Arabidopsis thaliana: one gene and its partners. The protein of the gene in region 2 binds, or shares a complex with, the protein of the main gene of each other region. Each region holds a gene or a part of one and is shown on either strand. Other genes may lie near its edges.

The links.
Region 1: NRPB8B (region 2) and NRPB12 share a complex: the UniProt entries of both Arabidopsis thaliana proteins name them as parts of the RNA polymerase II.
Region 3: NRPB8B (region 2) and NRPB9B share a complex: the UniProt entries of both Arabidopsis thaliana proteins name them as parts of the RNA polymerase II.

The regions. Positions count from the first base shown.
Region 1 is NC_003076.8:16,422,218-16,425,869, reverse strand, and holds NRPB12 (DNA directed RNA polymerase, 7 kDa subunit), read right to left. Parts: upstream 1,952-3,652; 5' UTR 1,821-1,951; coding exon 1,781-1,820; intron 1,625-1,780; exon of another isoform or gene 1,481-1,624; intron 1,398-1,480; coding exon 1,305-1,397; intron 972-1,304; coding exon 949-971; 3' UTR 546-948; downstream 1-545. Other genes in the region: YSL4 (YELLOW STRIPE like 4), read right to left, coding at 2,173-3,101, 3,244-3,376, 3,489-3,652. UniProt on the Arabidopsis thaliana protein: DNA-dependent RNA polymerase catalyzes the transcription of DNA into RNA using the four ribonucleoside triphosphates as substrates. Component of RNA polymerase II which synthesizes mRNA precursors and many functional non-coding RNAs.
Region 2 is NC_003074.8:22,014,807-22,018,958, reverse strand, and holds NRPB8B (RNA polymerase Rpb8), read right to left. Parts: upstream 2,584-4,152; 5' UTR 2,444-2,583; intron 2,331-2,443; coding exon 2,252-2,330; intron 2,026-2,251; coding exon 1,868-2,025; intron 1,355-1,867; coding exon 1,263-1,354; intron 1,148-1,262; coding exon 1,036-1,147; 3' UTR 598-1,035; downstream 1-597. Other genes in the region: AT3G59590 (jacalin lectin family protein), read right to left, coding at 3,191-3,469, 3,564-3,929, 4,009-4,152. UniProt on the Arabidopsis thaliana protein: DNA-dependent RNA polymerase catalyzes the transcription of DNA into RNA using the four ribonucleoside triphosphates as substrates. Component of RNA polymerase II which synthesizes mRNA precursors and many functional non-coding RNAs.
Region 3 is NC_003075.7:9,201,777-9,205,772, forward strand, and holds NRPB9B (RNA polymerases M/15 Kd subunit), read right to left. Parts: upstream 2,040-3,996; 5' UTR 1,986-2,039; coding exon 1,824-1,985; intron 1,171-1,823; coding exon 1,012-1,170; intron 834-1,011; coding exon 753-833; 3' UTR 576-752; downstream 1-575. Other genes in the region: AT4G16270 (peroxidase superfamily protein), read left to right, coding at 3,304-3,588, 3,788-3,979. UniProt on the Arabidopsis thaliana protein: DNA-dependent RNA polymerase catalyzes the transcription of DNA into RNA using the four ribonucleoside triphosphates as substrates. Component of RNA polymerase II which synthesizes mRNA precursors and many functional non-coding RNAs.

The DNA of each region.
Region 1 (3,652 bases), on a different chromosome or scaffold from region 2:
CCTTACATGTTTTTCGGTACTTTTTATTGTTTGATAATATGTGTTGGTACTTTCTTATGTCAGCAGATAGAAACTCTGAGAATGTATTTGATTTTGATAACCCAGACTATTATATAAATGCTACAGTTGGTTTTGACAAAAAAAAAAAAAAAATGCTACAGTTGGTTTTGTTTGGAGCTTTTGTTGGAAGAGTTTATCAGCGACAACAATGAGTTTAGCCAGGTTTTAGATACAGTCACCAAGGACGATAGCAATGGCAATTAAGGCTTGTAAATTCGGTAATGAATGATATGAAATAGTGAAGTAACCACCCGAAGAGAGTACTAGTATTTAGTAACGTATAGATTATTTCATAGCATTTGGTATTCGAGATAAATGTATCATGAGATTGAAAACTCATAGTTTGTATTTGATGAAAGCTAATAGAGAGCATATTTGCCGCGATTATTCTCTTGTGTTGACTCTTCTATTTGTAGCCATAGCCTATAGGACTTACCAAAGGTTTCGTTAGACAGATATTAACACACTAATTTATCCATCTGCTTGGTACTAAAAAGGTATTTTGAGAGTAACATTGTGGTGGGTTCTCTTCATGTCTCTCTTCGATTTCTTCCGAACACTTAATATGTAGCAAACAAGATTGATATATGGTAGTCACTACCTTTTCCACCACCAGAATCTGATCAACTAAATGCAGAGTACACTAAAGAACAAAGGTAGCAAAACAACGAGAGATTATAGCCAATCAAGGATTATAGCAATGTGAACTTAGTTATTCCAAGAATTACATCTATCAAAACGGTAAAGTCATTACACAGTCACACTGTGACCAAATCAAATCGAACTGGCAATGTAGCAATCACCATGTCGATATATATATCACAAACAGTGCCAAAAAGTCTCAACCCATCTTAACAGACTATGAACCACCTTCAGGAGTAGTAGTTCTCAGCGAGCTTCGTATTGAACAACTGCAAGAGAATAAACCATCAAATAAATTAGCCGGAAACAAGTTTACAACATCTACATTTTGTACAAGAAAACCAACAGATTAACAATCTCAAGATAAATTCGGAAACCGGATCCTTAGAACATTTGCGTTATATAAGACACACTGAAAATCGTTCCATCAGTATCATAAACTATGATCAAGACTTAAAAAAGGATCCCGATATCATGTATATGTTGAGACGCATTCAAAATGGTGCCATCACTTTTATAAACTAGGAACAAGATCCAAAAAAAGAGGAATCAAAGAAAGCTAAAAACATTACAAAACAAAAGGAGGATTAAGAATAAGTCACCTCTACGGGTACGCTTCTTGTAGAGAATACGGTACCCACACTCTCTGCATTGGATCACATCCCCAGACTTCAAAGTGTTCTCTTGACCACAATCTGATGATACAGAAAATAAGAAATTAAGCAAACCCATAAAACGAAGACAACCTTTTTACTTATGAATTTTGGTTTAAAAGTGTATATGTCTGAGGCTGCTTGGGAGAAGCTTGATACTTAGCAGAAGCAAAGCTCCTCCTCAAAAAGACCTCAAGTCAAATAGATCAATACAATACAGTAAAGTATTGATGATCAAGATTGATTTATGCCTCCTAACTAAGCCAGATTATGAAATTTCCTAATAGATTAGGATTCATATGGCTACTCAAAAGAGGCAACTTTAGCATTTACTTTCACAAAGCTACAATCTTTTACAGATACTAACAAAACTTTGATTTCAAAGCAAAATTAGATGTTCGATGAAGTTTTCAAGTCGAGCTTACCTCCGCAGACGTAAGTAACGGGTTCGGGCGCTGGATCCATGATTCAACAAAGAAACAGTACGCAGAAGTTGAATTTGTTTCAAGCCACCGGACAAGATGTAAACAAAACCTTGAGCGTCTAAATTTTCTCAATTGGGATTTTAGGGTTTTTGAGGAGGAATTAGAGGTTTTAATAATTTCGGTCGAAAAGACGAGGAAAGAGATTCGTATGGGCTTCTTAACAAAAGTCTATGGGCTTACAGAATAAGCCCAAATAAAGTTTCGTTGGTCAACCTTGTCTGTTTGACTTTATGCCACATACTTGTTGCTATTGGCACTTTGTGTTCTAGAGTGAGATATAAAAACTCTATTATCTGCCATAATGCAACAAATTTTTAACATGATAACAATGTCTAGGATGGTCTAAAGTACATACAAATGGGTGGATTGATTCTTAATATAGAAAGAATTGCGGATGGGATGGTCCAAATTCCATCTCCGCAGATCAGACCTGAAGCTACTGCACCCGAGTAATCATCTGCGTCTTTCTTATTCATCCGTTCCCATACGAGCATTATCACGGTTCCTACGAACATGTCGATGGCGAAGTAAGCTCCTATGTAGAATGGACCAGCCATTGCCATTGGAAGTGGTATCAACTTAGAGATCTTTGGTGGTGTCATGTCTCTAATTAGATTTACAATCAGAGCAGCGATGAAGAATCCACAACAAAGTGCCAAACAGTGTTTGGGCAGTTTGGCAAAGCCTTCGACCCCGAGAATAGCCATTTCGCGGTAGATGACCGCGTAAGGTGCTTTGTATAGACCATCAGGATCTCCAATATCAAAAGCAGTCCAAAACAGCCAGAACGTGAGAGGAGCGATTATGCAACCCATTGCTGTACCCAAAAGCTGAGTTACAAACATGGATTTTGCAGATGATAGTGTGAGGTAACCTGTTTTAAAATCCTGCATGAGATCCGCTGCAGTTGAGACGATTGACATCATAATGCCACATGCTGCTAAACCGGCAATGACTCCACCATTATTTCCTACAATTGAAGCAACGATGAAAAGACCAGTCTTTCCGTAGGTTGAAGGCATGCTCATATCTGTGAGCCCGGCTCCATAAGAATTGCAAAAAGCAAGACCCGGGGCAACTAAGTATGAACAGAGGACAAAGTACCATTTCAATGGTGGGAATATCAACGGGATTATAGCGGTTGAAATAGCTGCAAGACCCACATAACCAGAAACCGCAAACTCGAGGGGTATACGGTCCTTGAGAAATATGATATCTCTTTTCTTCTTCTCCCGCATTAATACTGAGGTCTTACTTTTATCTGAATTAAGAATGGAGAAAGAAACTCTTAAGAAAATATTTGAGACAGACGTTGTCAGTATGGTCATGAGAGACACCTTTATTAATAACTATGACTATTACTAACAAACGCGATTGTGAATCAGGATCATATATATTCGCACCTAAAATGTCGGTAAAGACAGGTAGGTTGTGTTGTCTGGAGCTTTTGTTGCAGATTTCCTTCACAGTGACAACAATGATCTTAATGAGGTTGTAGAGACCGTCACCAAGGATGATAGAAATGGCGATAAATACCTATAAGTACAGTAATTATATGAAAGAGAATCAGTAACCACCACAATGAGAGTACCTATGAAATTCATCTACTAACATTAAATTCTTCCTACTTAATCGGTTTATTGTGTACCTTATATCCATAGAGACCTTTGAAATCGTTGGCTTTAAGGTCAGCTGGATACCAGTCCCCAGCATGCTGTGATATAAATGGCCAGAGAAAACCCCAAGAGATGATAGCACCAAGAAGAACCGAACAGTTCACCAAATGGGGACATATCATGCCACATCCAATAA
Region 2 (4,152 bases):
GAAAATGTAAGAGGCTGCAACTTTCACATGTATCCTATGATGATTAGTCCGGTCTTGATGATAATTTTGGACATGCAAAAAGAAGAATCAGTTACGTGTATCGTTCTAGTTTAAATCAATAAATTTGTGAATTGTGTTCTACGAACGTTTTGATGATTTTCTTTATAATCCAAAATCGTACACCCAATATGAACCTAAATGCCGCAAGTGATCACAATTCACAAATTGCTAACCACTTTTCAGAAGCACATATATAGCGGATCAGAGGAGCCACGGATCTTCTTCTTTCAGGGTGGTTACCTAGAAGATCACAAAACAAACGGTATCATAGAAAGCTTGATACATTGTTAAGTCAACCAAAGCCATTTTTGATTCCATGAGTTTGACAATCTACTTGATGCAGATCAAGCAAAGAATGGAGAAGAAGACGGACACATGAGAGCCAATGGCATTAGTATAAGCTGCAGAGAAAGCATTGCAGTTGAGAGGCAATAATCATAACTCACTCACTAAATCAAACAGCTGCAAAATCAGGATCCGAGTATTTCCTCAGCCATGCTTATCATGGTTTGGAGGTAAACAGCGATAATACGCATGAGCCTCATACAGTTGGGAGAAGTGGGAAGGCGTCTGGATACAAGCATGAGTAACAACAACTCCAAAAACTTCACTATCACAAAGAAAAATTCCTGCTACGCCAGAAACTGACTTTTTTGTTTTATTGGCTTAGTGTTATTGTTCAAAGAGAGAATATTACTAAACACATGTGAGAGTGTTGTTAGAAAAGAAACAATTTTTTTGTCTCTGTTTGTTTTATAACTTATTGGCCTCAAGTGGTTATCATCATTCATCAACAGCTCTGAGCTACAAGCATAATTCAATTGGACAGTTAAATATTGGATGTACAAGAGTTGCTTCATGAAAATAGTATTTATAATAGCAAAGTTTAACATAAGATAAAGCTTTTATAAGAAAGCTCTCTGTTAATTCGGTTTTTATGCGAATATTCTCGGAAAGTGATTAGACAATGGCATCTCAAAGCTTCCTCATGAGTAGAAAGAGCCTCTGGTCAAGTTCGAAGTGAGAAATATGAGCTGGATCTCCCTGAAGCAACATCAGGAGCCCCCCGAACGAAACATATAACTCTCTGCAAACACATAATTGCAAGATAGAAACCGAAGCATGATGGTTAGATCTGTAAGTTAAATTGGATCTCTTTGGGAAAAAATGATTTTGTTGGTCTAGGTATATGGGATTCTTACGCTTTTGGAGTTTTGCCGTCACGCTCAGAGATCTTGTAAAGCTTCCCGTGCATGATGTATTCATACTTATCTGCAAGTGTTTTCTTTGCTCCCTGTAACAAAGCGAGATGGAAACTAGATTAGATTAGCTAACAACAATCTTGGTTTCATGATTCAAGAGTCAAGACACTAAGTCTTGCTCAAATTCCACATGTTTACTCTTATTCCTAGATAGGCTTCCTGAATCAAGCCAAAGCAATTGTTCTATTAAGCAATTAGATCAAATCCTAATACATGTTCTTGTAATAGAGCGACATGGAAACTAAATGAATGTTCAAATTATCAAAGAAAACAGTCTTGGTTTTCAAAGATAGGTTTTAATTCAATATTCAAGAGACTAAGTATTGCTCAAGTTTTCATATGATTAGTCTTATTCCTATCTCCTGAATCAAGCCAGTGGAATTAGTCATATCGAGCAATTAGCACTTAATGGTATGCCCCAACCAAAACCTTAAGAAAAGTTAACTGGCCTAACTTACTGTAACCATTCATGAGATTTATCCAAGCAAGTAAAAAAGAGTATGCAATATACACCAAAAATCTAACATAGAAAAAGCATGCAGTACCGGAGTAAAGTATCCGGTATCAGGAGTTCCATCGAGATTAAGCGTGGGAGCCATAGCCAGCGTGAACTTATCACCAACAGCCAATGGATAAACCTCAGTGTTAACATCTAAATGCATAAACATTTCCAAGTTGTGGCTCCTTGCTTCAACACGCGTAACTGTGTTACCACAAACACACAGAGACGCAATCAATTTGAAGTCAGAACAAACAAACTTTAGGAGGCTTAAAATTTTAAAAGTTGAGATCTTTTTCACACTAACTTGGATTCCAATTTATCTAAAACTTAAAACAAACACAAGAAACTAGGATTCATATCAGAAACTCGATTTAAGCCATGACAAGCATTACAAATCGTGACTGAGGTTAAAAAAAAAAGTAGATACCTTTATCGAACTTTTTGCCATCAGGGTCTAGCTTATCGACCACGAAGATATCCTCGAACATGATAATATTGCTCGCCATCTACAAACACGGAGATTCAAACCCTAAACACTCTTAATTTCATGAAAATAATCCGATTCGACTGGCATAAAACAACTATATGAGCATCTGGAGAAATCGAAAAGCTGAATTACCTTCAAAGGAGATAGAAAAGACGATTTTTTTCACCAGCTCCGGAGGCTCAAGAGGCAGAGAGAGGAACGGCGGCGAGAAGAGTGTTAAGGAGGGGCAGAGAAGAAGAGAAGCGAGAGAGAAAGGATTTTTTGTTTTTTACTTTTTCATATTATTACATATATTCCTTGTAGTTTGGTTTATTTACATATTTTCCTTATATTTTTACTTATTACAGAAAATACCCTATAGATTTGTGTTTTTCCGAGACATTCCATGTATATTTTGTTGTTTATTACATATGTTGCATTAAAGGAGAGATCAGAAGTTTGAAATATTGGAGTAGGTGCATGGTTTGCTGAGTATGAGCAATAGTTAAACACTAGTTGGTTTGCAAACTGATTTCAATCGAGCGAGAAAAATTGTTGGAAGGTGAGAAAGTATCTCTTCCTCCAATTCCCACGGCTGGTTCTCTGGTTGCATCATATATTTTTAATGGACACGGTCGAAAAGAAAAAAAAGAGTTTATAGATGGATTTGTATAGCAGCGTTGTTGTTTGCTTGCCTTGTCGGTTTAGGGTTTCAGAAAGAAGGATTGGAAAACCCTATTTCCCATTTTACTCATAAGTCCAACTTTTTTTATTAGGCTTTTGCGAACCCAATAAAAAACACGGCCAGTAATATTCCCATTTTACTCAATCGTGCATGTTCAAGAAAAACGATCATATTCATATCCAAAAAAGAATTATTACTTTTTATTGGCATGATTATTAATAATTAAAAACTGGTGAATGGTTAGGAAACGAATAATATAGAGGGGGTGGAGAGAAGTGGACGCCGAGAGCAGTGAGGTGGACACCAGAGCTTCTTCCGTAAAACCCGATGGCCTTGGAGCCTCGTTCTCCTCGAAGCGAGAAGGGCGTCCCGTTCAAGCGTCCGTACTGTGGCATCATGTCTCCCTTGCGCATCCGAAATGTAATGGAGGTGATATGGCTTTCAGTGTAGGTCCCCTCGACGGCTTCAATGTAGTCGCCTCCAGCGATCATAATCTATGCAAGAAATCCATATGATATGTATGATAAAACTATATATAAGTTAGAAACTAATAAATTAAGAAGTAAGAAATCTCATCACGTCACGTACTTCGTCGTCTGGATTATGTGTTGTCGCATTTCCATGACCTGCTCCGGCTTCAATCCGGTTATATTTGGAGTAGTGAAACTTGACAAAGACCGTGTCAAAATCATTTACTCCTACATTTATTTTCTTCACATTGTGGAAGATGCCGTCGTCCCACTCGTTTCCTCCATCGCTCGCTTGTATTCCTCTAGGGGGTGTGAAGCGGGACTCAACCTGCTGCGTTTTACTTCTATTGCTCATCGTGAACGTTGGAACTGGGACCAAACTAGGAACATAGGTACGGTGATGACGAGTAGGATACTCAACCAAATCGTTTATTATAATTTCATGGAACTTATCTCCCTTGGCAATATAAATGCAAGCCTTTTCCTTCTTGTTCAAACAACACAAATGCGAGACTGAGGGTTTTATCGTCGATGAAGTAACTTGGCGGATCATAGCTTATTACTCTTAAACTCGACCATTTAGGAACTGACACTTTCATCAAGTTCATCCACTCCACAGCCTTTCCATTCTCAATTTTAATCTCTTTTTTTGTTACCCAAATCTCTATATTCCTTGTCTCATAGTTTTGCTCTAAATACGAAAATCG
Region 3 (3,996 bases), on a different chromosome or scaffold from region 2:
CATTGCTTATTTTTGCCAGCATTGACAAATCAACCTTGCTATTTTTTTTGTTTTTTTTTTATCATACGAAATTTGATTTATTTGACTGCGTCTATGTAAATATTTGTTAATGTTTTAGAATGACGAGAAACATGTCTAATTTGGCATATTTGTGTTTTACGTGTAACAAAACTTGTGCAATTTAGATAAGCTCCTAAACAGTGTCATTGAATCAAGTATAATTCCACTCATGAATTGGTTACTGATTTTTTGACTTTATGAACTATGATGGACCAAGTTGGCTATTAGCTAACGTAGTTTTATCATATTTGCTTACAAAAGAAAAAACTTTATTTGAAGATATTGTCATCACTTAACAAGAGCAGCCGTATAATTCGATACGATGACGAAGTAAACACAGCATTATTAAAACAATTTGGTTTAGAAGATTAGATTTATCAACTTTTTATAATATCACACGTTATAGCAAAGTTATAGCAGCCGGCGGCTAGACTCCACGTATACAAATTTTCAACACTATCATGGTTTATGGACGAATTTTCAGATCGGCCCCGCATAAAACGACAAATTTATAATTAGACCCACATAAAAACCAAAATGATCATAAAAGACCCTGAAACAATTCAAGAAACCCGAGAACAGTCTCATAGTATTCATATTTTTACACAGAAAACTCCAAATTGAATTGTATAAAACTCATAAAGCGGAACACAAATACACGTTACATTTGAAAAATGTAGTCTTCTATCAATCTATTCTCTCCAACGGTGACTACAGTTCGGGTTGCAGCAAACGAAAAACAGAGTCATTCCTTCTTCGCCTCTAGCCGTGGCCTGAAAATTCGATGACACACACGAGCTATATCAAACCGAAATAGCCATAAGCACATTAAAAAGCAAGAGAAAGAAATCTCTTTTGATCTTTAAGTTAGATCAGAGAAAAACGAAAGAATGTTTCTTTACTCCTTGATTGATGACGAATTAAAGATTAAGATATAAGATAATGATTCACCTGGAAGAAGACAGCTTCACCGTGTTGACACTTGGCGCATCGCACAGCCTTGGTACGTGGAAGAGTTGGGTCGGAAGCAACGTCAGATAGGATCTGAGTTTGTTCACTTACAGAGTGATGAACCTCGTTTCTGTAAACACAATTGTTATCTGCTGCTTCCTGCAAAGCCAAATAAAAGAATATAAATTTCAAGACCTTCTATCAACAGGACGATAAATAGCTAACAGTAACTCAGTAAGTTTATAACTAATTCGGTTAGCAAGTCCGGGCATTAAGCTAAAGATCCCATACAGAGATTCATCTAGAATGGTTTTCAGTAGCTAACAAAGGCATAATGCTTTGTAATAACAAAACATAACACAAACAGTAGAAACAAAAAAAAACTCAGATTCGGTAACACCAATGGATATTGTTGAAACTCAAATGGTTTTAGAAGTTAAGTTGCAGAAACCCTCTAAACGGTTTTTAAAAGGTCTTGCGTTTGTTCAGAAGTTCTCAAAGAACTCTTTATACTGATAAGCACTACTATCTTAACCAATCAGATTCATGATATGAGAGACAAGGAAAATGATCTAAACTCATTAAATTATCATTCCTTGGTTTACTTCAAGTTCAGACATTCGACCTTTAACCGTATAAGCGATTACAAAGAGTAAAACATCAGAGCTTAAATAAATATCAACACAAATCATATACAAGTGAACAACTAAAGTCTATTGGTTTCAGCCCTAGCTTTGTTTCAACACCACATTGTTCCATTAACACTAAGGAAACCTAATTTTATAAAAGAAAGCATAGTAAACAAAGTTTACCTGGTGATCACAATTACGGCACGCATAGAGGAGGATTGATTGCTCCTTGTCTTCCTTGGGATATAGAATGTTATTACTGAACATTTCAAAAAAAAACAAAATCAAAGGTTCATAAGCTGCAAAAGTGGAGAAAAGTTGGAGCTTTAATCCAATAGAAAACATAAGCAAACCATCCAAAACTAAAATTCCGACAATTAGAGACTTAAGAGAACTGGGTACAATATATAATTCAATATGAGCTAAGAAATGAAAACCCAAATTTCAATTTCAGAAGACTAGTATAAAAGAGCAGAGAACAGATTCGTTTTGACCCCCAAAATAAAAAAAACGAAGAGATTCGTATTTACCATTCGCGACAAAATTTCATAGTACTCATCTTCGCAGAATCTTTAGATAACGAGCTTTTGAATGCTTCTTTGATTTCACAATCAGTCTCTTCGTATCTTTGGCGGGATTTGTTCACTCGGACATGAGAGAGAAGAGGTCAAGCTCTAGTAAAGACTAAAGACTGCGTAGTGGCAATCGGATGTAATTTCATGAACTTTCTCGGGCATTTAGACAATAAATGCGTAAAGCCCATGGGCCGGCCCATATCAGAATTTAACTTGTGGGGTAGAAAAAAATACAAATAAAGAAATACGAAGAGGACAATACGAAATAAATTTGACCCTTTCTTCATTGAAGACTAGTGTACTTTTTCTTACATTAACAACCACATGCATATCCCCATGCACCTTTATATCATTGTGAAAATTATTCGATATTCATTATATAAGTTCTGTTCTATTAAAAATATGAAAGAAATTAAGCACATTATATACTACTAACTTCTGTCAGATTCCAACTGCTGAATTGGTCTGTCTTTTAACTACTCCTGACTCTATAGTGTATACCGACACATCTCTCTAGCACTTGCACTAGCACTAGCAATAGTAACAACATGGTTTATTTGTGTGTTTCCTCTTCATTCATTACAATATCATTACTACTCTTTTGTTCCTTTTTATTACAACTTACTAATAATAGCCATTAGCCAGCCACCTTATGCAATCTTATCCCTTATCACGTATATAGTTTAGTCCAAAACGTTTTGTTTTGCTCAAATAATAATTCATGCATAAAAAACAACAAAAAACACACAATTATACATGCTGATCATAAATTGTATTATGAGAATTTGTTAATCATTTGGTATACTAACATTGCAATTTTACTTGAATATTTGCCAATCTACTTCTTTTATATATACATACATTTATTGACGTACGTATGATTAATTTGACGAGTACATAATATGTAATTGGGTTGTTGAAGTGCACATGCAGTCATGCAGTCACACATACATATATACGTGTTATGTATGTGTATATAGTTGAATTGTTTCTATAAATATGGACACACATACACTAGCTTTCTAATATAGTACCAACTCCATTGAATGTTAAAACTCAGAAGAAAGTGGAGTGATCATATAACGACAATGAAGAATCTCTTTAACTTGTTCCTTATGTTTTTCTTTGCAATGCCAATTCTTTCACTCTCCGAGAATCCAACCAATTTCAGCGAGAGTTGCGAAGACGGGAGTGGAGAAACCGGTTCAAGCTTTGGCATAGGGTTCGATTTGGTTCTTGATTTTGGTTTATACCGGAATAGCTGCCCCGAAGCAGAGTCTATCGTCTACTCGTGGGTGGAAACCACGGTGTTAGAGGATCCAAGAATGGCTGCTTCTCTTCTCCGTCTTCATTTCCACGACTGTTTTGTCAATGCAAGTCACATCTCATCTTAAGTTTGTTTTAATAGTTTTGGTCTATCATCTAATCCCCGTCTTTTATATACCATTGAACCGGGAAGGATTATATTATGTTAGTTAAACCGTGACAAATCTAAATTGTACCGGTTAAGTAGGGAATGAGTACTACGAACCAGAATGTGTTTTTGTTTTTGACTTGCATTATGCATTGCAGGGATGTGATGCTTCGGTGTTGTTAGATGACACAGAAGGACTGGTTGGTGAAAAAACGGCGCCTCCTAATCTAAATTCTCTACGAGGGTTCGAAGTGATTGATTCGATAAAGTCTGATATTGAATCTGTATGTCCAGAGACCGTCTCATGCGCAGACATTCTTGCCATGGCTGCTAGAGATTCAGTCGTTGTGGTAGTTATCATCATATT